2 linked regions of the Notamacropus eugenii genome follow. The protein of the gene in region 2 interacts with the protein of the main gene of each other region in a pairwise test. Links are inferred from orthologs where the notes say so. Each region holds a gene or a part of one and is shown on either strand. Other genes may lie near its edges.

Region 1 (11,116 bases), about 460 Mb from region 2:
TCGTTTTTGCCACCACAAAGGGTCCTGCCTTGACTGTCTCAGTATATACTGGGTTTCTGTGTCTGTCTTTGCCTTCATTTGGGTCTAGGGCCGGTGGTGGGATCTCTGGGTTAAAGGCGGGGCAGTTTGGTGACCTTTCTTACCTCATTCCAAACTTATCTAAAACGATTACTCCAATTTGCTGTCTCATAGCTGTGTGTCGGCACCTCTGGCACAGACGGTCTAAGTTTTTGGTCATCTCTGCCAAACTGGGGTGTAAAGTGAATCCTCCTGACCTTAGGTCATTCTCCCCTCTGTTTCTCAAAGAGAAAATCTGGTACACCTCTGCATGCCTCCCTCAGGACATCAAAATACATGCTGATGTCCCCTGGGACAACCATGGTCATGCCTGCGATCTGACCATTCCTCACATGTTCTAACTCCACGATGCAAACCCTGATCCTCCTCCTTCCCCCTCTCCCTTTGCCATAACCCTTCCGAATCTTTTATCCTCCCCTTCCTTGAATCCCTGGGCTTCTCATTCTGTGCCTCCTCAAACTCCAAATGTAGGCGACACCTTCGCTCTCCCTGCCACCACCCCCCTTCCCTCCATCTCCATCTCTGCTCCTCTTCAGGTGCTGTTGCACATTTGGCTGCTTCCTCAGAATGAGGAAGGCTCCAGGAGGTCCAGAATGTGCCTCTCATCCTTTCCTTTCATCCCTCCCTCAGACAGCCTGGGAGGAACATCCCAACCAAGGACAACAGCCTGAGTCACCCCCAGAAAGCCTGCCTTGATTTTCACTGTTTGTTTGGGTTTCTAGGCTCTCTCTGAGTAGATGAATAAGTCACATGACTATCAAGAGTGAATTGTCCACACATTTCTTTTTAAAACTTTTGATTTTCAGTTCCAAATTCTCTCCTCTCCACTCCCTTCCCCACCAAATGAGAAGGCAAGAAATGCAATGCCTTTCATGCCACACAGATAAAATCAGGCAAAATATATTTCCTCATTAGCCAGTGGTGATAGTGTCTCTCTGCCCTGCTCTATCTTTTCTTTCCAGTGCATTCTCAGCTCATGCTACTTTATTGCTAAAAACCAAAAACAAGCCCCAAAATTTTAGACATAGTTGTAGAGTTTCCCCAATGTAGGTTTTTAAAAATGGTCCCTCTACAACCTCCAAAGAATAAAATCTCTTCTGTAAACCCCCAAAGATGCATAGATATAACAGCAAGAGGCCTTCTCCAAAACTTCAGGTATGAAATTCTTAACAAGGGACAATAGTTAGAATAACCATACTACCTTGTGAAATAGAGTAACTGTGCAATGGAGAGATTACAGCTCTGCGTGTGCATATAGTAAGTAAACAATCTTTCCTGCACTAAAGAAGGTCAACCTAATATACAGAGCATATGATGTGCTGCTTTTCTTATCTTGAAATGTTTTGAATTGCCAGTGATAGTTGAATTCACCATTTTCAAATGTTTTTTAAGAAGGAAAAAAAGTGACTTATTGCATCCAGTTAATGGGGGTGGAGGGGTTGTCTGATGAAGGCCCTTGGGAGGGGATCTGGAAGGGATCGGAGGGATTTCAATTTCATACTTTTAGTAATTTGGGCTATATTCCAGATCATATCTCTAGACTTCTGCTGAACCTGGGGCCAGATTCTTAGCCAAGGGCAGGTTGGGAGATGGCAGGGAGGGATGACTCAAGGGTAGTGGCAATGCCATCTTGTGGCCTCCCCCAGCAGAAATGGGCCGGGGCACTGGATGGGATTGAAGAAGAGGCTCCAGGCTGCTTGATGGTGCCCCCTTTCGATCCAGTACACCGGATTCGATGCCAGTGAGGGATGGGGGAACCAAGGTCCCTCCCTATTCACTGCCACAGCAATGTCACCCATGTAGCCTGTTGGCCTCGCCTCCCTTCTCTATATCTTTTTCCTCTGGCTGCCTTTGTGCTTCCTCTTCCTTGGGATAACTGAGGGGCCAGCACCCTGAGGGACTGGCTTCTGGTACAGTGGTCCTGGAGATAGACTGTGTTGGCAGTGTTCTGGCAAGAGGGCAGCATCCCAGTGATGAAGCTACCAGAAAGGAGACATTTCTTGGTTTGATCTGACTGAATAATTAACACTCTGCAAAAAACATTTATGCTCCAAGAAGCTTGAATGTTTGCCTCTCAATGGATTGTACTAGACACGTCAAGGTAATCATCTTGTACCATACAATTGGCAGCCAAGTGGCGCCATAGTGCACAGAGTATTGGGCCTGGAGTCTGGCTGACTCATCATCCTGAGTTCAAATCCAGCCTCAGATATTTCCTAGCTGTGTGACCCTGGCCAAGTCACTTCACCCTGCTTACCTCAGTTTCCTTATCTGTAAAACAAGCTGGAGAAGGAAATGGCAAAGCACTCCAATATCTTTGTCAATAAAACCCCAAATGGTGTCACCAAGAGTTGGATGACTGGAAAACAACTGGACAACAACCACACAATGATTCTTTCTTCATCCTCAATTCTGTTTGATAATAAGCCTGTTTCATACCTTCATACCTGATTAATATGTGCATTTTTGAGGGTTCTTTTTTTAACTTTCCTCCTCCCTCAACCTCTTTCTTTGGAGAAATTCTGGATTAGAACCCAAGGTGACATTACTCCAAAGGGCGGTTTTTCTCAGGAAGCTATGGTGGGGTGATGAATGTGAAAATGAGGCAGCTACCTCCCCTAGAGCTGACCCTTGGAATGCTGGGATGGCAGAGAAAGGATAGAGATCACCAAAGGTCATGGGCGTCTGTAGCCTCAGCTGAGCAGTGCCTTGCTAGCCACTGTCCTTCAGGGATGTCCACCTGGAAATATCCAGTAGAGAGCTGGTGATGCAGGGCTATAACTCAGGAAAAAACTAGAGCTGCATGGATGGATACATAGAGCGCACGTTTATTAAGTACCTACTGCTATGAGCCGAGCACTAGAGGGACAAATCAGAGCCTTCCCCTAAGCTAGCTTCCATCCCAGTGATGGATGACAGAAGTGAGCTGAAAAGCGGGGGACAGAGAACCCAAAAGCAGCAGAGGCAAGGGGCAGGCTGATCCAGACTTGAAGGAAGTGTGGCTGGCATGGGCTCTTCCTCAAATCGGCATTCCAAGGAGGTTGGTTGGTTGTTGCTCTTTGTGCTTGAAGAGGTCCCAAATGTTGTGTGGTTGCTCTTCTATGTTTTCCACCCTCTATTAATAATAGCTTGCATTTATATGGAGCCTACTATGTGCCATTTGATCTTCACAACAACCTTGAGAGGCGGGTGATATGATTTATCTCCATTTTCATAGTTGAGGAAACTGAGACAGAGAGAGGGTAAATGACTGGCCCAGGATCACACAGTTAGAAGTGTCTGCAGCTGGATTTGAAGTCAGGCCTTCTTGACCTTAGGCCCAGTGCTGTATCCACTATAATACCACCAGTTGACTCTGTGACTAGTTCCAGTCACTATCTCCTTAATTCCATTTAACTACTTACCATCAATTACAAACAAATATTCACTCCAAAAACACAGAAAGAACCAAAGAACAGGCAGGGAGTAGGCTCAGTTTCTATATAACCTTGACCCTGCCAAGGTCAGGCCTAGCTCTGGCAGGACTGCTCAATGAGTGAGTCCCTGTCTTAACATCTCCTGGCCTGGGTCCCAAAGGTCACTCCTTGTTCCTCAGGGCATTGATAGAGAAGATGCTAAGTTGGCTCCTGGGATGCTGGCAATTGGTGGCACCATAGTACACAGAGCCCTGGCTCTGAAGTCAGGAAGGCCTGAGTTCAAGTCCAGCCTCAGACACTTCTAGCTGCATAAGCTCTATCTGCCTCAGTTTCCTCATCTGCAAACTGAGGATAATAACAGCACACACTTCCCAGGGTGGTTGTGATAATATTTGTAAAGCGCTTCTCAGCTGGCCTGACCATCTCTCACTGGCCACAAGATCCAACAAGAGTACACTGGGATTAAACATAGCCAAGGAGATGTGGCCACAGCTGCCTGGGGCCTTTTTGAAGATACTCCCAGGTCTGGTCATACAACCAATCAACAAATGCTTCCCCTAGCCATCTAGATAGCAGACCAGAATGAGTTACAGGTTATACATGCAAGCTCCGAAGTCTCTCCACAGCCTTCATGATCCATACCATCCCAACTCTCCAGAAGCAGACTCCTTAGGCTCTCCATGGAGAGGCTGCCATCTGAAGCACTCTGTTGCAGGGGTCACAGGAAGGGTTGACAAGTCAGAGGAGACCAGAGAACACCCAACAGTCAACCATAGATCTTCAGCGGAAATGGGAAGAAAACGAGCCACCTGATGACTGCAACAATCTTTTAAGCTGAAGGATATGGAAACAAAATCCGTTGTACCAACCACACTCACCAGAAGTGGTGAGAAAATGTACCTCTCTCTGGGGGAGAATTGGGGGACCATAGGTTTGGAAGATTTCATATACTGCCGCATGAGACTGAGGGGCTTTTTTCTTTCTTCTGTGATCTTTATTCCCAGGGAGAGGAATGTATTTGTTAATGAGTGTGGGAGGCAGGAGAGCTTTCTCAAGCATCTGAAGGGCCACCATGAGGAAGAGGAGCCCTGCTCATAGTAAACACTAAGACAAATGTTTTCTGTGCCCAATTGAAGGGGGCCTAGATTTGTTCTGCTTGACCCCAAAGGTTAGAACCATGAGGCCCTGGTCTGGGGTGGCAAGGAGGCATCCTTTGGCTTGATGCTAACCAATCTGAGCTTGCTCTCCACTGTGGACTGGGAAACTTCAGGAGGTAATGGGCTTCCCATCCCTGGATCTGTTAGGAAACAATGGCCATTCTTTGGAGATGCTGGGCCTCTACCCATCAGATGGCCAGCCTTTCAGCCTATGGTCTCTCCCAAGGACTCCCTCTCCCTGGAGGGCTTCAGACAAAGGGGGGCTGGAGGAAAGGTCCCTGCTTCAGGAACCTTTGGCTAAGATGCCCTTCCTGTTGCCAGATTCTATGACTCCCAGGGCATAGGAGGCAAGAGTCCTGGCTGCCTGTCCTTGGGATGGAGGTCCGACCATCCATCTGTGGAGGTTTTTCTAGTACTTCTATCAGTTACCAGGTTGGTGTACCTGGACAAGTGACCAGGTCCCTATGTTTACTGGCTCTCCTAAGTTTGCTGAAATGAGGTCGGAGCAGCTGACCCAAAGGTGCCTGCCAGCGCTCATCCCCTAGGAGCCTGGGGTGTCTGTCGATCATGCAAAGAGCCCTGGGGCAGCTACGAGCTACTCCAGACCAAGTTCACCATTAACCATGGAATGGGCCCTGGAGTTAGGAAGGCCTGAGTTTGACCGCGGCCTCGGAGACTAGCCGTGGGACCCTGGGCAAGTGACTTTTCTTCCTCTGTAAAACGGGCATGATAAGAGCCCCAGTCTGAGGATCAAGTGAGGTCACTCTTGTAAAGCGCTTTGCAGATCTCAACGTGCCATGCTACCGTCCAGTGGTGGCTGACTCTTCGTGACCCCAAAGATACTGGAGGGGCTGGCCCTTTCCTCCTCCAGCTCATGTCACAGATGGGGAAACTGAGGCAAGCAGGGTGCCGTGACTGGCCCAAGGTCACCCGCCTAGTGAGTGCCTGAGGCCCCGTTTGAACTTCCGGACCCACTCTCACCCGCCAAGATTACGGCAGGGAGGTGGGCCTCGCGCGGGATCTGAACCCAGGTCCGGTTCTCCAGTGCACCCCAGTCCTCGGACGGCCATGGGCAAGGCCGTGTCCTCCAACGTAAACCGAGAACGATATAAACTGACGCTCGGCCCGCCAAGGAGCGGACCGGCATTTATTAACAACCTACTAAGTGCACGCCCCGCCAGGGTGATTTGCCAACGTCAGCCGTAATAACGCAGCTTCTCCCTTCCGCTTCCGGCTTCCGGTTTCCCCTCTCCTCGTTCGCTCCCGCCTCTTCCTTCCCGTCCTGTTGCCTCTGGCCCCCGAGAGGCCCCGCCTCCAAGAGGTCCCGCCCCTCGAGACCCCGCCCCTACACGCCCTCTCTGTGACTGGCAGGAGGAAGAGATGCCTCGAGGAGGCGGGGCCAGAGGAGCGAGCGGAAGAGGGCGCGCCGGGCTCCTGGGGCGGGGCCTCGAGGGGGCAGGCCCCCGAATGGGGGCGGAAAGGGCGGGGTGGCAGCGGAGCAGGAGGCCCTCGGGGGCGGGGCCGCCATTGGCGGAGCCGCGAGGGGCGGGACCTTTGGAGGGGCGGGCCCTCTAGGGGGCGGAGCCGGGCCCGGGCTTAGTCGGAGTCCGAGCAGGAGCCGGGAGCCGGAGCCGGGAGCCGGAGCCGGGAGCCGGAGCCGGACCCCGAGCGGAACCGGGGCCGGGCGGGAAATGTGGTTCTTCGCCCGGGACCCGATCCGGGACTTCCCGTACGAGCTGAGCCCGGAGCCCCCCGAGGGCGGCGGCGCGCCGGGGCCGGGGCTGTGGACGCTGCACCGCGGCAAGAAGAAGGTGACGGGCCGGGGCCGGGGCCGGGAGCGGGAGCCCGGCCGAGCCGAGCAGGCCTGGTTGGCTGGAGGCCGGGACGGCCGGAGTCCGGCCGGCCCCGCCCCCGGCCCGCCCCCGGCCTGACGTGGCCCCCGCGGCCTAGGGCAGCCCCGGGGAGAGGGCCCCCTTCCCTGCCCCCTCCAGCGGAGCCCCCACGTGTCCCGGGGCGGGGGAGGGGCGGCAGTAAGGGCCCAGGGGCTCCCCAAGCTCTCCGGCCCCCTACCAGCCCGCGCCTCCCCGCAGGCCACGGGAAATGCCGTGTCCGTGTTCGTGTTCGAGGCCAAGCCCGGGGAGGAGGAGCAGACGCTGGTGGCCAAGGCAGCCTTCAAGCGGCTCAAAACCCTTCGGCACCCCAACATCCTGGCCTACATCGATGGGCTGGAGGTAGGCCAGCAGGGCGCACCCCTAAGACGCCTCCTCTGCCCCCTTCCCTCAGTTTCCCTTCTTGACCCTTACTTCCTGTTTTTTCTCTGCCCCCTCGGGTTAACGTCTGCCCTTCTATTCCCATAAGATCATTGGGACTTGGGAGATTTCCTAGTCTTAACCTGGGGAAACTGAGGCCCAGAGAGGGGAAGGGGCCTATCCAAGGTCACAGCGAGTTGAGACAGAGCTGGATTTGAACCTTGGTCCCCCTCCCACTGTTTCTTCTCTTCCCCCTTTGTCTTTAAGACCTGCACCTCCCCCCAGCAATCTCCCCAGGTCTTATTCAGAGCCTCCTGGTGTCCCCAGCCTGTACCCTTGGCTCCCCCACCTTGACCAACCTGGTCTCTAACTTCCCATCTGTCTCAGTCCAGGGGCCTGGAATTGGGATCTGTACTCACCTGTATCTTGGATCTTCTCCCAGACTGACAAATGCCTTCATGTGGTGACTGAGCCTGTGACCCCACTTGGGACATACCTGAAGTGGAAAGCAGACACAGGGGGCCTGAGTGAGCTGGAGATCTCCTGGGGGCTGCATCAGACTGTGGTGAGGATCCCCCTCGACTTGCCCTTTGGGGAGTGGGGAGGGTGGGTACTGCCAGCCTCCCAGACCATGCCTCAGCCTGATCTCATCCCCACAGAAAGCCCTTAGCTTCCTGGTTAACGACTGCAACCTCATTCACAACAATGTGTGTACGGCGGCCGTCTTTGTGGACCGAGCTGGGGAGTGGAAGCTGGGTGGCCTCGATTACATGTACTCAGCCCAGGGGGACAGCGGGGAGCCCCCACGCAAGGGGATCCCTGACCTGGAGCGCTATGACCCACCTGAGATGACAGACAGCAGCAGCAAAGGAGTGGGAGAGAAATGGTGAGCATGGGGGATTGAATGGGCGGGAGGTTCAAGCCCCTTGTGGAATGAGACTGTGTCCTGCCTGGGAGCCCAGAGGTGCTGGTGCATGAAGGCCCTGCTCCTTCTCCCTGGCCTCTAGCTGTACCACAGCAAAGCAGAAATTCAGGAAAGGGGAGGCAGGAGGAGGGAGCCCTGGCGCCACCTGGCTTAGCATGGTCAGGCCCAGGAGGGCCCCTGAGTCCTGTCTTTGGGTCAACACAGGTCAGCTGACATGTGGAGACTGGGCTGTCTAATCTGGGAGGTGTTCAATGGCCCCTTGGCCCGGGCCTCCTCCCTGCGTTCCCTTGGGAAGGTGAGTCTCTGGGATCTGGTTTCCCCCAGCCCGCAGGATACCCCCTCATTTCTGGGGCTTGCCTTCCTCCCTTCAGCCATGGACCTCTCTCCCTTTTCTGGTCATCTCATCTCTCCTGTCGCTCACTTCATTCAGCCCCTTGTCCTCCCTGACCCACTGAGGCCCCTCTCATGCCTACCCTTTTTTCAGATTCCAAAGTCTTTGGTTCCCCATTACTGCGAGTTGGTGGGGGCCAACCCCAGGGTACGTCCCAATCCATCCCGCTTCCTACAGAACTGCCGGGCCCCCGGCGGGTTCATGTGCAACAGCTTTGTGGAGACCAACCTCTTCCTTGAGGAGATCCAGGTGAGCTTATGCTGTAGGAGTGAGCTGCCCCTGAGAACAGGCACTGGGTTGGACTACCTCCTGCCTCACTTGTGCCCCCTGCCCCTGCTCTGTACACTGGGAGCTGTTGCTCTTCTGATTTTCTTCTTTCTGTGTCCTTTCTAAGGCTGGAGAAATGTTGTGTGCACGTGCACACACACAGACACACACACACACAGACAGATACACACACACACACATTCCCCTCACTATAAATGCTACGTGGTCGATATAGACACTGGAAAACAAAGGGATGGCAGTTGATACCAGACTGCTCTGTCTGGCCTAGCCCAGCTATCCATCAACTAGTTAAGCAAGACCCTGGTCATCATTGAGGCAGGGACCATTTCACTGAGCAGAACAGAACTGAGACTAGGATAGAGGGGTGAGAAACATGGTGGGAAGAGAGGAGAATGGGGGTAGAAGTCCCAATTCAAGGTCTGCTTATTAAAACTAACAATAGCTTGAAAAACCACCTGAAAAGCCAGGCCAGGTGAGCCCAGATGGGTCTGGAGAAAAGAAGATGAAATGTACATCTCCACTCAGTAGAGGAGAGGGGGGCTGAGGGTGCAGAATGTGGCATACACCATCAGCTTTGCCCTGTGTTTCTTGATTCCAAGGGAATTTGGTGTGGGGTATATTGAGAAATGATGCGTGTTGGGGTTTATTTAAGTTATCCATTTTTAAAAGCAGGACAGAAATGTCCACCGACACACATACAAGAATGGCATGACAAAGCCTCTCTTGAGACACTTAATGTGTCTTATAGGATCTTGGCTAGTTTAGAAATGAAATCAGTAAGGGCATCCTTAATAATAATTGGCATCTTTGACAACCCTTTGGCATCAGGTGAAAAGGGGACTGGCCCAGGAGTCAGGAGACCTAGATTCCAGCCCTAGCCCGATGCCCACTAACTGCATTGCTTTGGGTAACTCACGAATCTGAGCCTTGGTTTCTTCATCTATGAAGGGAAGGGGCTGGACTGGGTGCCCTCCCAGAGCCCTTTCAGCCCCCACCTTCTAAGTTCCTTTCCATTCTCTTGGACCCCCTGGCCCTTGCTTTTATGGCCTGATTAGAGCTTTGGCCAGGAATAAGGAAGACCTCAGTTCAAATCCAGCCTCACTGTGTGATCCTGGGCATGTCACTTAACCTCCTATTGACTCAGTTTCCCCAGCTGTAATATGAGAATAATGATAGTATCTTCGAAGGGTTGTTGTGTGGATTAAGTGGGATGATAACTGGAAAGTGCTCACTGGCGCAGAGTAGACATTATAGAAAAATGCTGATTCTTTCCCCTTTCTCTGTCCTCCCTGCCCATCCTTGGAGAAGGGAAAGTGAAAGGGCCGGGGCTGTGTGATGGGTAGGGATGTGGTCCCTAGAGTTTGCCAAGTGTTAGCAGAGGCGCAGAGAGGGGAAATGATTTATCCAAGGTTACGCAGGGCTAGGAGTTTAACCAAATGCAAATTTCCATTGCCCAGGCTATGGTTTTGAGGACTCATTAAATGGTTAGACCCAAGGCATAGTTACTAATGGATCAGCATCACTTTGGAAGGAGGTCTGGAGTGGAGTGCCCCAGGGATCTATGCTTGACCCTCTGAAGTTTAACATTTCTACAAGAGTGTTGGATAAAAACATGGAGAACATGCACTCAGTTTGAAAGCCGACACAGCAGAAAGAATTCACTGTCCCTGGGTGATGAGATTCATATTCAAAAAGTTCTAGACAGTCTAGAGGCCTGGGACAAATTTAAAAGGATGGAATTTTTAAAAAGTTTTATAAATTACTTTTTGTTCTTGACACTACTGTTGTTTCCGAGTACCCAGCATTCCCTCCCCTTGGCCCTTCCCTCTAACAAAGAAAAAGAGTTGAGCAAAAGCAGCTGCACTATTCTGTACCTGTAACCCCTACCTCCAGCTCTTAGGGGAGCAGAGTGTGTCAGCATCTGGGATTCCGACGCAGTTAGTTTCATCTGTGGTCAGCTTGTTTTTCATTGGCTGCCTCTACCTGGCATTGTGGTCCTCCTTTTTTGTCCAAGTCTTCCCAGGTTTCTCTGAATTTTGTGTATTTGTCTTTTCCTGCAGCACCATAATACTGCATTATATTCACATACCATGATTTGGGCAGACATTCTCCAGCTGGTAGGTAGAGGCTAGACCCAGGATCCAGAAAAGCTGAACTCAGATGTGACCTAAGATGCTTCATAGCTTTGTGACCTCTGTCTGCCTCCTCAGTTTCCTCCCCTGTAAAGTGGAGATAATAACAGCACCTTCCTCCCAGGGCTGTTGTTAAGATGAAATGTGATGAGATTTCCAAAGTGCTTTGCAAACCTTAAAGCGCTCTAGAAATGCTAGCTTTTATTATCGTTATTATAGGAAATACCCAATATGGAAACTCCTCCCACCAGTGTCAGGAAATCAATAATTTGTCGGTGACTCAGTCCTAGAACTGTCTGGGGCCTCGAGAGATAGCTGGTATGTGTCAGACAAGACTTGAACCCTGACTTGTCCAACGCCAAAGCTAGTTCTCTATACCTTTTTACTGTGCTTTCCTATAGTTCTTCCAAAACATTGGTGGGTTTTGGCTTTAATTATCTTTGCCAATTTAATGTATATTACGGGAAATCTCATCATTTT
Region 2 (10,373 bases):
TTTTGGGGGAACAGAATGATTTAATTTTTATATTTCTGGTTCTAGTACTTAGCAAAGTTTCTGACAAATGGTAAGTACTTAATGCTTTTTCATTTATCTGACATCATCAATTTCCCTGAGACTTTTCTTACTATTATAAACATTCCACTTAACTTCTACTGTGGCTCTGCCTTACTCCATCCTTTCCCCTTGGAGATCTTATCTATACACACCTGACCCTGGCTCACAGCTCACTACCTGTGTGACCTTGGGTCAAGCAGGTTACCAAATTCCTCATTTTAAAAAAAAAAAGGCCTAATTAAACCTGATAAGGTATGGCAGCCTAGGGCAACAGTTGCTTAAAGTTACCAGCTTATTTAGAGTGACAAGTTTATGAGCAGATCACCTCTACCTGTGAACGGCAATTGAAGAGAAAGTATTTTATTAAGTATTTAAAAACATTCAAGATATTTATCTACTTTAACAATACACTTACACTTCCCAGGAGGCCTTTCACAATTTTGTTTGGGACACTCTTGTTTGTTAATTTTATCTTTACAGATAAAGCAATCACATTTAAGGCTATATGCAGTCTGGATTTAATTTATGTCACCATTCCTACCTCACTGGAACACACTCATTTCCTATAATATGGATATATTATGGATTTCTAAGGCCCTACAGATTTATATGATCTTTCCTGGAAGGTACCCCAAGGAGCTCATCTAGCCAACTAACCTTTCTGCCATCCCTTCTATATAATCCAAAGGATCTAAGATCCTATGTCCATGCTTATACCCCTCTGGAGAAAAAGTTGCATAAATGAGATAAATTCCCAGTCATAGTTCCATCATTATTGACATTTCTTTCCTTCCACTGAGTTTGTATTTGTTATATTTTAGACTCCAAAAAATCACTGATTCTGTCAACCAATCCTTGTAGCAGAATATCCCCAAGCAGCCATTAAGACCTGAGGTCTCAAACACAACCCTCTTTAGTGGGTTGAAATAGATTAAAATAAAATTGGGAAATATTTAACAAAATAAGTAAGTAATAAATATAAACAATAAAACTATAAAGCATAGATAATATTGCATTCTAAAACTAAGTCAATATATGGCCTGCAGGGATCCTTATGTACTGATTAGCTATTTGAGTTTGACACCATTGGTCTAAATGTTGCCTGAAAACTTTCTGTAACATTGTCTTTTTACCTTCTAAGGAAACTGATTTCACTTTGGGATACCTCTGATATGAAGTTTTCCCTTACGTTCACCTTAGTCCAAGTACTACTTTCTGGAGTGAAGGAAACACAGCGTTTCATGCTTGTAAGTCCTATGTCCCTTCTCTATCACCCTTCTCATCCAAGGTCTTTTCCAGGCTAAGCCTCTCAATGATCCTTGAACGCCATGGTTTTTAGGTCTTTCACGATTCTGTTTGGAGGACGTTATGGTTTGTTAATGTCCTCTCCAAGAAATGAACACATGACCTGATCAGGGTATAGCTCAGGGGCACTATTGACTCCTTTGTTCTATAAACAATATAGGCCCATCACTGTAGCACATCAGGATGTTTTTGGATCCTGACCTCTTCATTCCATGTGTTAGTTATTCCTACCAAATTTGTACCTGAAATCAAAGGATACTTGCTTAGTTTAATAAAGATATATACACAAATACAAGGAAATATGATATACCATAAAAGTGGTACAATCTAGGAGTCTGGATGACATAGACATTTTTGGAAGGTGATGGAGCCAAACCATGAAAGGTTTTACCAAAAAAGCAGCATTTTAGCTTGGCCTCAACACAGGATTTTCTACAATTATTTTCCTACTACTCATACACTTATCCATCTAATAATGATCTACATAGTATTCTTATTTCATTCACTTACTTTTCCCATGCAGACAAAATGTCAAATTCTTTTGAGTGACCACACACTCCACTAAAGAAGACCTTTAATATTTTGGGGCTTGATGAAACCGGCATGCCTCCATCTTCCTTCCACTTGGATTGTGATTGTGTCATATTAGAGGTACTATTGAAGCACCTTTGTTATCTATTGTATATTCACTTGAAATTGATAGTTGGGATTGATGAAAGCTCTTAGTGATCGAATCTTATCAAAAAACTTAGTGTAAGAAATTTGCCTTGTGATCTTATGAGAAATTTATGTATAAATTTTAACATATACATAGGAACTGCCTTGTTGGAGGAGAGTACTTCTGAGCCATTTTTTATTTTTTTGCTCTATGGCTTTTTTTTTTAAATTTTAGGTTGTCAGCAGACATTGTGGAATCTTGTATTCTCTAAATCCCTTATTTATCACTATTAAGATGTTGTTATAGTAAACAATTTTTGGAAAGCTTACCTATTACCAGTATTCACTCTAGGAAAAAAAAAAAACTCCAAGAGTAAGGGTAAGTTTTTGGCTAGAGCTCTACCGTTGCTATTTAATATTTGAGGTAAAAGGGAAAAGTTAGTTGAATCATTCATTTTGCTTTAAAGTGTGTGCATTTACTTCATACAACATTTTACTACTGAAGTAATAATGTGACTCCTATTCTAAAAGCATGGACTCATGATTTAAAGGAAATAGACATTAGTCTGCTAAAAAGGGGAGAAAATCCTTCTTGATGTCCCTATTTGCTTTTTTAAAGTTTGGATTTCCATATATCCAGTTTTACCCAGATGTGAAACACATCTGCTAACAAAAGTCCTTTTTGACAAGTCTATGGAATGTAGAACTTCATTTCTATCTCTGTAGGGAGAGCCTAGAAGTGCCTGACTCACACTAGGTACCTAATAAATACTTGTTTAATTAAATTGTTAACAGTTTGCTATTTAAAATATATTGCCATCTTGCTTCCAAGAGAGTCTGAGATAGTTTGAAACAGCTGTAGAGGTCATCAATTACTTGGGTTGAGTTAATTACTGGATTTGGCTCTTAAGTTTTCCAGAAGACAAAAAAAAAGTGAAATTCACAAAAAAGTGAAGTTTCTTTTTCTGACAATAGAGTAGTTTCATTAAAAAAAAATTCTCTTAATGCTAAATAATGCAGTTTATCATGATGGTTCCTATAAGGACAATGAATGGAAAACACCCTTAACTAGTACTTCACAAGGATGAACAGAATTCTCATACTGACTCTTTCAAAATGCCTAACTCAGTAAAACCATTGCTATATGGGATTGGATTGATACAGCCAAGCATGTTACTTTCTGAGAAAGAAACAACTATAGGATATAAAATGCCTGGAGAAATAACACATTTCTATAGCTCTTTAAGATTTGCAAAACACTTTCCTTGTCACCCAGTGAGGTAGATATTGCAAGTATTATCCCTATTTTACAGCCAAGGAAAATGAAGCTAAGAGAAGTTAAATGATGTTACAAAGATTACATGAGGAAATCATCGAGGATGTGAATCTAGGTCTACTTAACTCCTAGTCCACCACAATTTTTAACTACAGGATGTTCCCTTTCAGAGTACCACACAAGCTACACAATAAGCAACTAGATCTCCAAATCTTTCCTTGATAGCCACCCTCAATGCCTCCCATTAGACCTCGTGTGATGTGTTACAATCCAGGTTCTCAGATAAATTGTTTCCAAAAGAATTTATATTTAAGTTATGGGAGGTTTTTTAGCAAATACAAATCAATTAATGTGTTGATAGCTTCATGCCTTAAAAACTTGTTAATTTTTCAAATCAAGTCATGTTAAAAAAGAAGGAACAGTGCAGGCTTTCCCAAAATTCATTCTTCCTCCAAATCCTTCCATATCTCTTCAACTAAGGTACTCTCCCTCCTGAATATACTTTATTATGTCCAAATGCCAAGTCTAGTGCCTTACATATGGCAGGTACTTAAGATTTTATTCTAAAATTTGAATTATGGTATACTTCTGCTCAAAGCTTTTTCATAGACAAGGATCTTACTCATCATCAGATAAAAAAAATTAATTAAAAAAATGCAACAAATGTAGAAAAACTTTCAACCAGGGGTTTACCCTCATTCATCAAGTGTGGCCTAGAAGAGCAACTCTGTTGGGCTCTTGGGGGTTAGGGCAAAAATCATTTCTATGTTGTTCCTTCATTTTAGTTTTTTGCATTTCAGCTCAGTGTAATCCTCTGTAAATAAAACTTGAAAAAAACTACACTAAGTACAATGAAAAACGTGATTCCTTGTAGTTAACAGTTATTCTTCTCATCATTTAGATGGCAGGTTCTCTGAACTAAAAATTGGGACAAAGTGTTCTGACAACACATATTTGGCAAAGCCTCACATCTTTCCCTCCTTTGATTTCTTATAATACTTTGGGTCTTTTCCCTCCCAAATCTCACTCTCTTGGAAGAAGTTATTTAAGACACACATCTCACCTCCCATGTCCTAAAAATGACTAGAGAACAAGAATGTTACAGTTACAGCAGCTAGCTGCGTCTTGAGCTTCTTCGGTCTTTAATCAGTTTCTGAATGAATTTATTTCCTTAAAACCAACCCAATCTTAAAATCATGGGACACATCCTTGTAGAGATAGGTATCTAAACTGGCATAATTTATCAGCCCGAATTAAAGACAGACCAACAAAACACTTTTGAGGCTTTAAACATCTCATTTTCCCTCTGCCCAAGCAGTTCAGTTGACCCCCAAACCCCGAATTTCCACCATAGCTTCCATGTCCTATAAAGCTGCTCTCCTCAAGTGAGCTCCCACCACACCTTCCTTCACCCACTCAACACATGCTTTCCTCCTTCTCAAAGTTTTCATGGCATCCCAGACTGCAGCTGGTGGTCTAAAAGTCGTTTAATTCTACCCCCATATTTCACGGACAAGGAAGACAGCTCCAAGTGGTACCATGCCACCCTGGTTCCGACCTTACTGCCCTTTATCTTGTCATCCCCACCTCGGGGGCCCTGAGTGGACCCTCAAGAATAATGACGTCATGTGATAGTAACTGCCACTTATGTAGCGCTTCGAGACACGCAAAGCGCTTGACAGACTTTTACATAGCACTTGCAGAAAAGACTCTGAAATCCCCGCTGCTTTCCCTACAAATACCAGAAGGCCCGAGATTTGGAAGACAGCCTAAGCAAGAAAGCAGAGGACAGGAAGCAGGCGAGAGGAGGAGGGAGAAACACAAGGAGGCAAGAGCACAAGCAGAACCGGGAGAGACAGAAAGAAAGCCCCATTGTTTGGGTTTTTGTTTGAAGGCCTAAGTCTACACGAGGTTTTGGTCTAAAATCTAAAATCTCGCTGATCTGAAACACGCCAAGCAACAATACGAAAGACCCAGGTAAGACCGTCCCCTAGACAAGGATGAAAAAGACGCGGCCCGCGGGCCCCACAAATACTAAAAGGCAAGGGCATAGCCCCGCCCCTTCCGGCTTCTCTGACTCCGCCCCTCCAGATCACCCGTAAAAAGCCTGACAAGAAACTTAACATTATTCCGAAGCGCCACGAGGATTTCCTTTTGTTACAGATAACTACAGCGAGAGGGAGAGGAGGAAGGGAGGTGAAGAGGTACAGGGTGTGCTGGGGAATGTATGCTGCGCAGATCTCTCGTGGTATCTACTCAGGCAGAGCTACGGCCACCTAAACATACCTGCTTCAGAGGGAACGCGAAGGAGCCGGGGTGGGGTGGGGCTTGTTTCTGTTTGCGGCGCGTTGATTGGCTAAGCGGATGGCCCCAGCCGGCGAAGGCCCTGACTCTGTGGAGCGGTCGCGTTGGCAGCCGGGTTTCCTCGAAGGCTCCGGGAGCCCTGGGGAGCCCCGGAGAGGCGCGGGCGGATGGCGCAAGGATGGGCCGGCTTCTCCGAGGAGGAGCTGCGGAGGTTGCGGCAGAACAAAGGTAACGAGCTGGGAGATGGCTCTATCCTTTCGGTCCTGGAGGAGAAGAGGGGGCGGGGCTGGGTCCGGAGAAGAAGGGTGAGCGACACTTTGGCGGAGACGAGTCATGCTTGCAAACATTAAGCTCCTGCTGTGTACCAGGTACAGCCGGAGGCCCCCTAGATGGGTAGATGGAGCTTCCATTAAGCACTTGCTGGAGGCGCTGAGTATATAAGGCAAAGGCAAGCATCCCTGCCCTCAGGCAGCTTTCCATCAAATGTGTCCAAGTGTGAATTATTTGTGAAATAAACACGAACGGTGGGGGAGGGGTGCGTAAGAGAAGCTTTAAAGAAAGCTAGGGTCGGTGGGTCTGTAAGCTCTTACTGTATGCCAGGCACCAGTGGTAAGCGTGATAGGTAGGCAGAGCTTTTATTAAGTGCTTGCTGGAAGCACTGAGCATCCAAAGGCAAAAGCTGAACATTCCCCTCCCCCAGGACGCTGACTATCAAATGAAAATATGTGCACGTATAAATAAAAAGTATATGTGAAATAAATACACACGGAGGGGAGGGCGGATCAGAAATTCCAGTGGCCTAGTTAGGGTTAGTTGGTCAGCAAGGCTATGTTAAGCACTTACTGTCCTTGCACTGGGCTGAGTTCTGGGGATAGAAAGAGTGATACAATGTATCCCTGCCCCTCCAGGTGCTCACAGTGTAACAGTGGATGTACAGATGAAATACATACGGGATAAATGGGAGATAATCTTAGAGGAAAGTCACTAGACTTAAAGGGATAAGAAAAGTCTTCCTGTAAAAAGTGGGAGTTTTAGCTTGGAGTTAAAGGAAGCCTGGAGAGATCAGTGCTGTAGGTATGGAGGTGGAGTGACCTGTTTGAGGAACAGCCTGGAAGCCAGAGTAACTACGTGGAAGGAAGGAAGGAAGGTAGAAATGTTTGTGGAATTGAATAGAAAAAAGGACTAGAAAAAAGGGGGTAGGGAGGGGAGGCAGATTATGAAGGGATTTTAATTCCAGAGGATTTTATTTTTAAACCTGGAGGTCCTAGGGAGCCATTGGATAAGAGGATGTCATGGTCAGCCCTATATCTTCCTAAGATCAGTTTTTGTGGAGTGGCATGGAGAGGTATTTGGAGGTAAAGAGAATGGGTATGGGTGTGTGTGTGTGTGTGTGTGTGTGTGTGTGTGTGTGTGTGTGTGTGTGTGTGTGTGTGTGTGTGTGTGTTTTGGGGCAATGCTCAACAAGTAGGCAGGTTTAACTGGAACATGAGAATTTTTGAAGCAAATCAATCTCAGTCTGTCAATAAGCATTAAATGTCTATTGTTTGCCAGGCACATGTGCCATGAAGGTACAGTGAAAGATACAAGACAGTCCTTGTCCTTAAGATCATGATCTAAAGGAGAAGACTACACACAAATATATACTACCAAGCTATACATGGGATAAACAGGAAATAATTAACAAAAGAAAGGCGCTAGAATTGTGATCCATTGGGAAAGGCTTTCTGTAGAAGGTGGGATTTTAGTTGGAACTTGAAGCCAGTTGAGGAGGAAAAGCATTCCAGGCCTGGGGGACAGTCTAAGAAAATGCCTGGAGCAGAGAAGTGGAATTACCAAGAGGCCAGTGTGGCTGAATTGAGGAGTATAGTGGAAAGGTGGAGGGAACTAGGTTGTGAAAGACTTTGAATGTTGAACAGGATTTTGTATTTGATTCCACAGGTTGTAGGGAACTACTGGAGTGTATTAAGTAGGAGAGTAATATGGTTACATAGTGCAATCATCATGTAAAGATAATAGCAGTTTGGAATCAAGAAACGAAAGAGGCCATAGCATGGGTAACCCAGCAACAGTGTGCCAGTCTGTCATTTGGATTTCTTTCTGCACTGGCATGCACATTACGCAAATATAGAATTATATCATAAAAAATGCTTGCCAAAGCAAGTGTTTGTATTTTGTCTTAGAAGTAATTGGGAGTTATTAGGCCTTCTTGAGTAGAGGAGTGACATGATCAGATCTCTGCTTTAGTAATATCTCATATATACAGGATGGTGAGGAAGATAAGAAGCAAGGAGACTGTCCAAGTGAGACTCTGTTCTGTTAGTCACTAGAGGAGAGGTAGGTGATGTAGTGTTGAGTTAGGATGATGACTTTGTGAATGAAGAAAAGAGGGCAGATAAGTTGTAGCAGTACAGTCAACAAAACCTGGCAACTGAGTGGTCACAACCCCAGGGTTGTAAACCTGGTTTACTCATACTGGTGCTCTCAATAGGAAAGTTAGGGAGAGGGTTAGTAACAACATATATCTATCACAGGTCTGTGTGTCTAGAAGTTAAAGGTCCCAAAGTGGGGAGAAAAGGGAGGAACTAGACATATCTTTAATTTTTGTCTTTAATAGAGTTTGTGGGGGGAACTGTATGAGCCTTAAGTAAATGCTTCTAATTTTAGTTTAGAGAGATGGGAAGTAGAAGGGAGTGGTAGTCATGTTAATTAGATGAGGTAGAATGAATGTGGAATATATGAACTAGTTAGAATTTTATCTGTTTCAAGGAACTGGTGTGTGTGTGTTGAGATAATATATAAAGCCATGCACAGGCCTTAAAGTGTTGTGTAAAATGTTAGCTACTGCTATCATGTACTGTGTAAATGTATGTAATTTCATTTTTAATGATACTATTTTTGTTCTTGTATTTTCATGCTAGTACCCTCTAACTCTTTAAAGAAAAAAAGATGATTATACTGGCATGCTTTTTCTGAGAAGCCTACAAGCCATGGCCTCTTTCAGTTCTTAATTTTAAACCATATATACTAGTGTACTTTTCTAAATATTGAATTTACTGCTTTCCCCATTTCTACTGTCCCACTTAATATCAAATATCAAGATGTATGTTGATTTTTTGTTTGGACGATCTTGTCGACAATCTATAGAATTTCTCTTTTTCAGTCAATGCAAGACAATGACATCTCAATCAAATAGAGCTAAGATGACATTATTAAGGCTTGCCTGGTCATTAAACAGTGTTGACTTTTGACCATGGGGGACTCTTAAAACCATCTGCTAAAGCCCAGGCTGTTTGTAGTTGGCTTTAATTCATTGAATGGGTGTATCTCACTCAAAGTGAGAAAGCTATAAGACCTTAGCCTGAAAGGGCCAGAGTCTCTTATTGCATCCTGGGCCATCTGCAGCTGTCCTGATGAATATCAGGCCATTGGACCCGGATGGCTCAGGAGAAGAAAGTGAGGTTGGCGACTTCACTCAAAGCCAAGTCAACTGCAAGTCATGTCATCATCTTGATGTCATGGTCCTCTTCAAGAACAAAGGACAAACACAGCAACAAGAACGGTGTGATTACTCACAGAGATGAAATAACAGATCTTTTTGAAGTGTAATTTACAGGCAGCTTACCTGCATGTGGTTAAATTTCAGAATTGGCTATATGGGGAATTTTTATTGAGCACCAAAAGTGGGGCATGAGTACTGTTTAAGACAGAACTAGAAAAGTACTTTTTACCACTGTGTGTGCAGTATAAAAGAATTAAAAAAATGAGACCTAAAATTTGGTTTCTACTGAAGTGTTAATGTGTTTTGTTTTTTTCTTTTGTAAAAAGTAATTTATAATCCGCTACTCTCATATAATTTTTTTTCCTTGTATTATATATAGATCCATTTGAGACTGCTGATCGGCAAAGGCGTCACCCTGTGAGCAAAAGTCGACAGCAGCTACAGCGTGAAAAGGCTCTTCAGCAGCAAAGCCAGAAGCTTGGACTTGAGGATGGTACAGCAGCAGTTCCTCCAGAGCAGTTGCTTTCTGCGCCAAAATGCAGAGCTGACTCTCAGCAGCCTCACCCATCTCCTCCTCTTCTCAACTCTCCTGGCGAAAAGGAAAAGTGTCAGAGCATTGGAAATCAGAAGAAAAAAGCCGGACTTGAGAATTCCTATAATAATGCTGATAAAAAGGATGAGACTGTTACTCCAAAACCAAACTGTAAATTGGAAAAAAAGAAAGTGGAATTGTTAGTAAGTCTATGTAACCAAATGATTCCATTTGTTCCCTTTGTTCTTACTTTATCATTGGATTTTAGGGAAATTGGAGCTTAATGTCTTGTGTTCTGACCTAGAAATATAGTGGAAAGGAGAAGTTATTCTGAGAACATGCAGAGCCCTGCTACTAAGAAATTTGGATATCATCTTTGTAACATATATAAAACTGCTCACTCTTCAGCTTTCAGAGTGGGCCTGCTTGTGTGGGGAAGGATGCTGCAGGCAGGAGAAAGGGCATAAGAAGGGGAAAGCACAGGGAAGAGGTGGACAGACACTAGTGGTATGTGCTAAGTATACTGTTTTCACTGTATCTCATAATACAGTCTCTAAAACTAAAGTAAATTTAGTACAAATGCTGAAGACTTGTAGAATTTGCTATTCTTTGACTTAAGTTTCTGATCGTCCAGACTCTGGTGCTTTATTCTACATTCACTATTTTTGTTTCTTACCTCTTTTATTTATGGCTCCCTGGGGAGATGGGATGCCATTCATTTTTGTGTCTCATTCTCTCTG

Evidence for each region. The genes of interacting proteins can lie anywhere in the genome.
Region 1: the proteins of GORAB (region 2) and SCYL1 interact in a two-hybrid assay, tested with the Homo sapiens proteins (2 studies listed by BioGRID and IntAct). The link is inferred for Notamacropus eugenii from reciprocal best matches to the Homo sapiens genes GORAB and SCYL1.

What each region holds. Positions count from the first base shown.
Region 1 is NC_092873.1:18,292,618-18,303,733, forward strand, and holds the start of SCYL1 (N-terminal kinase-like protein), read left to right. Parts: upstream 1-6,213; 5' UTR 6,214-6,342; coding exon 6,343-6,462; intron 6,463-6,741; coding exon 6,742-6,882; intron 6,883-7,342; coding exon 7,343-7,465; intron 7,466-7,559; coding exon 7,560-7,786; intron 7,787-8,029; coding exon 8,030-8,120; intron 8,121-8,309; coding exon 8,310-8,465; intron 8,466-11,116. UniProt on the Homo sapiens protein: Regulates COPI-mediated retrograde protein traffic at the interface between the Golgi apparatus and the endoplasmic reticulum. Involved in the maintenance of the Golgi apparatus morphology.
Region 2 is NC_092873.1:475,863,515-475,873,887, reverse strand, and holds the start of GORAB (RAB6-interacting golgin), read left to right. Parts: upstream 1-5,364; 5' UTR 5,365-5,769; coding exon 5,770-5,830; intron 5,831-9,480; coding exon 9,481-9,832; intron 9,833-10,373.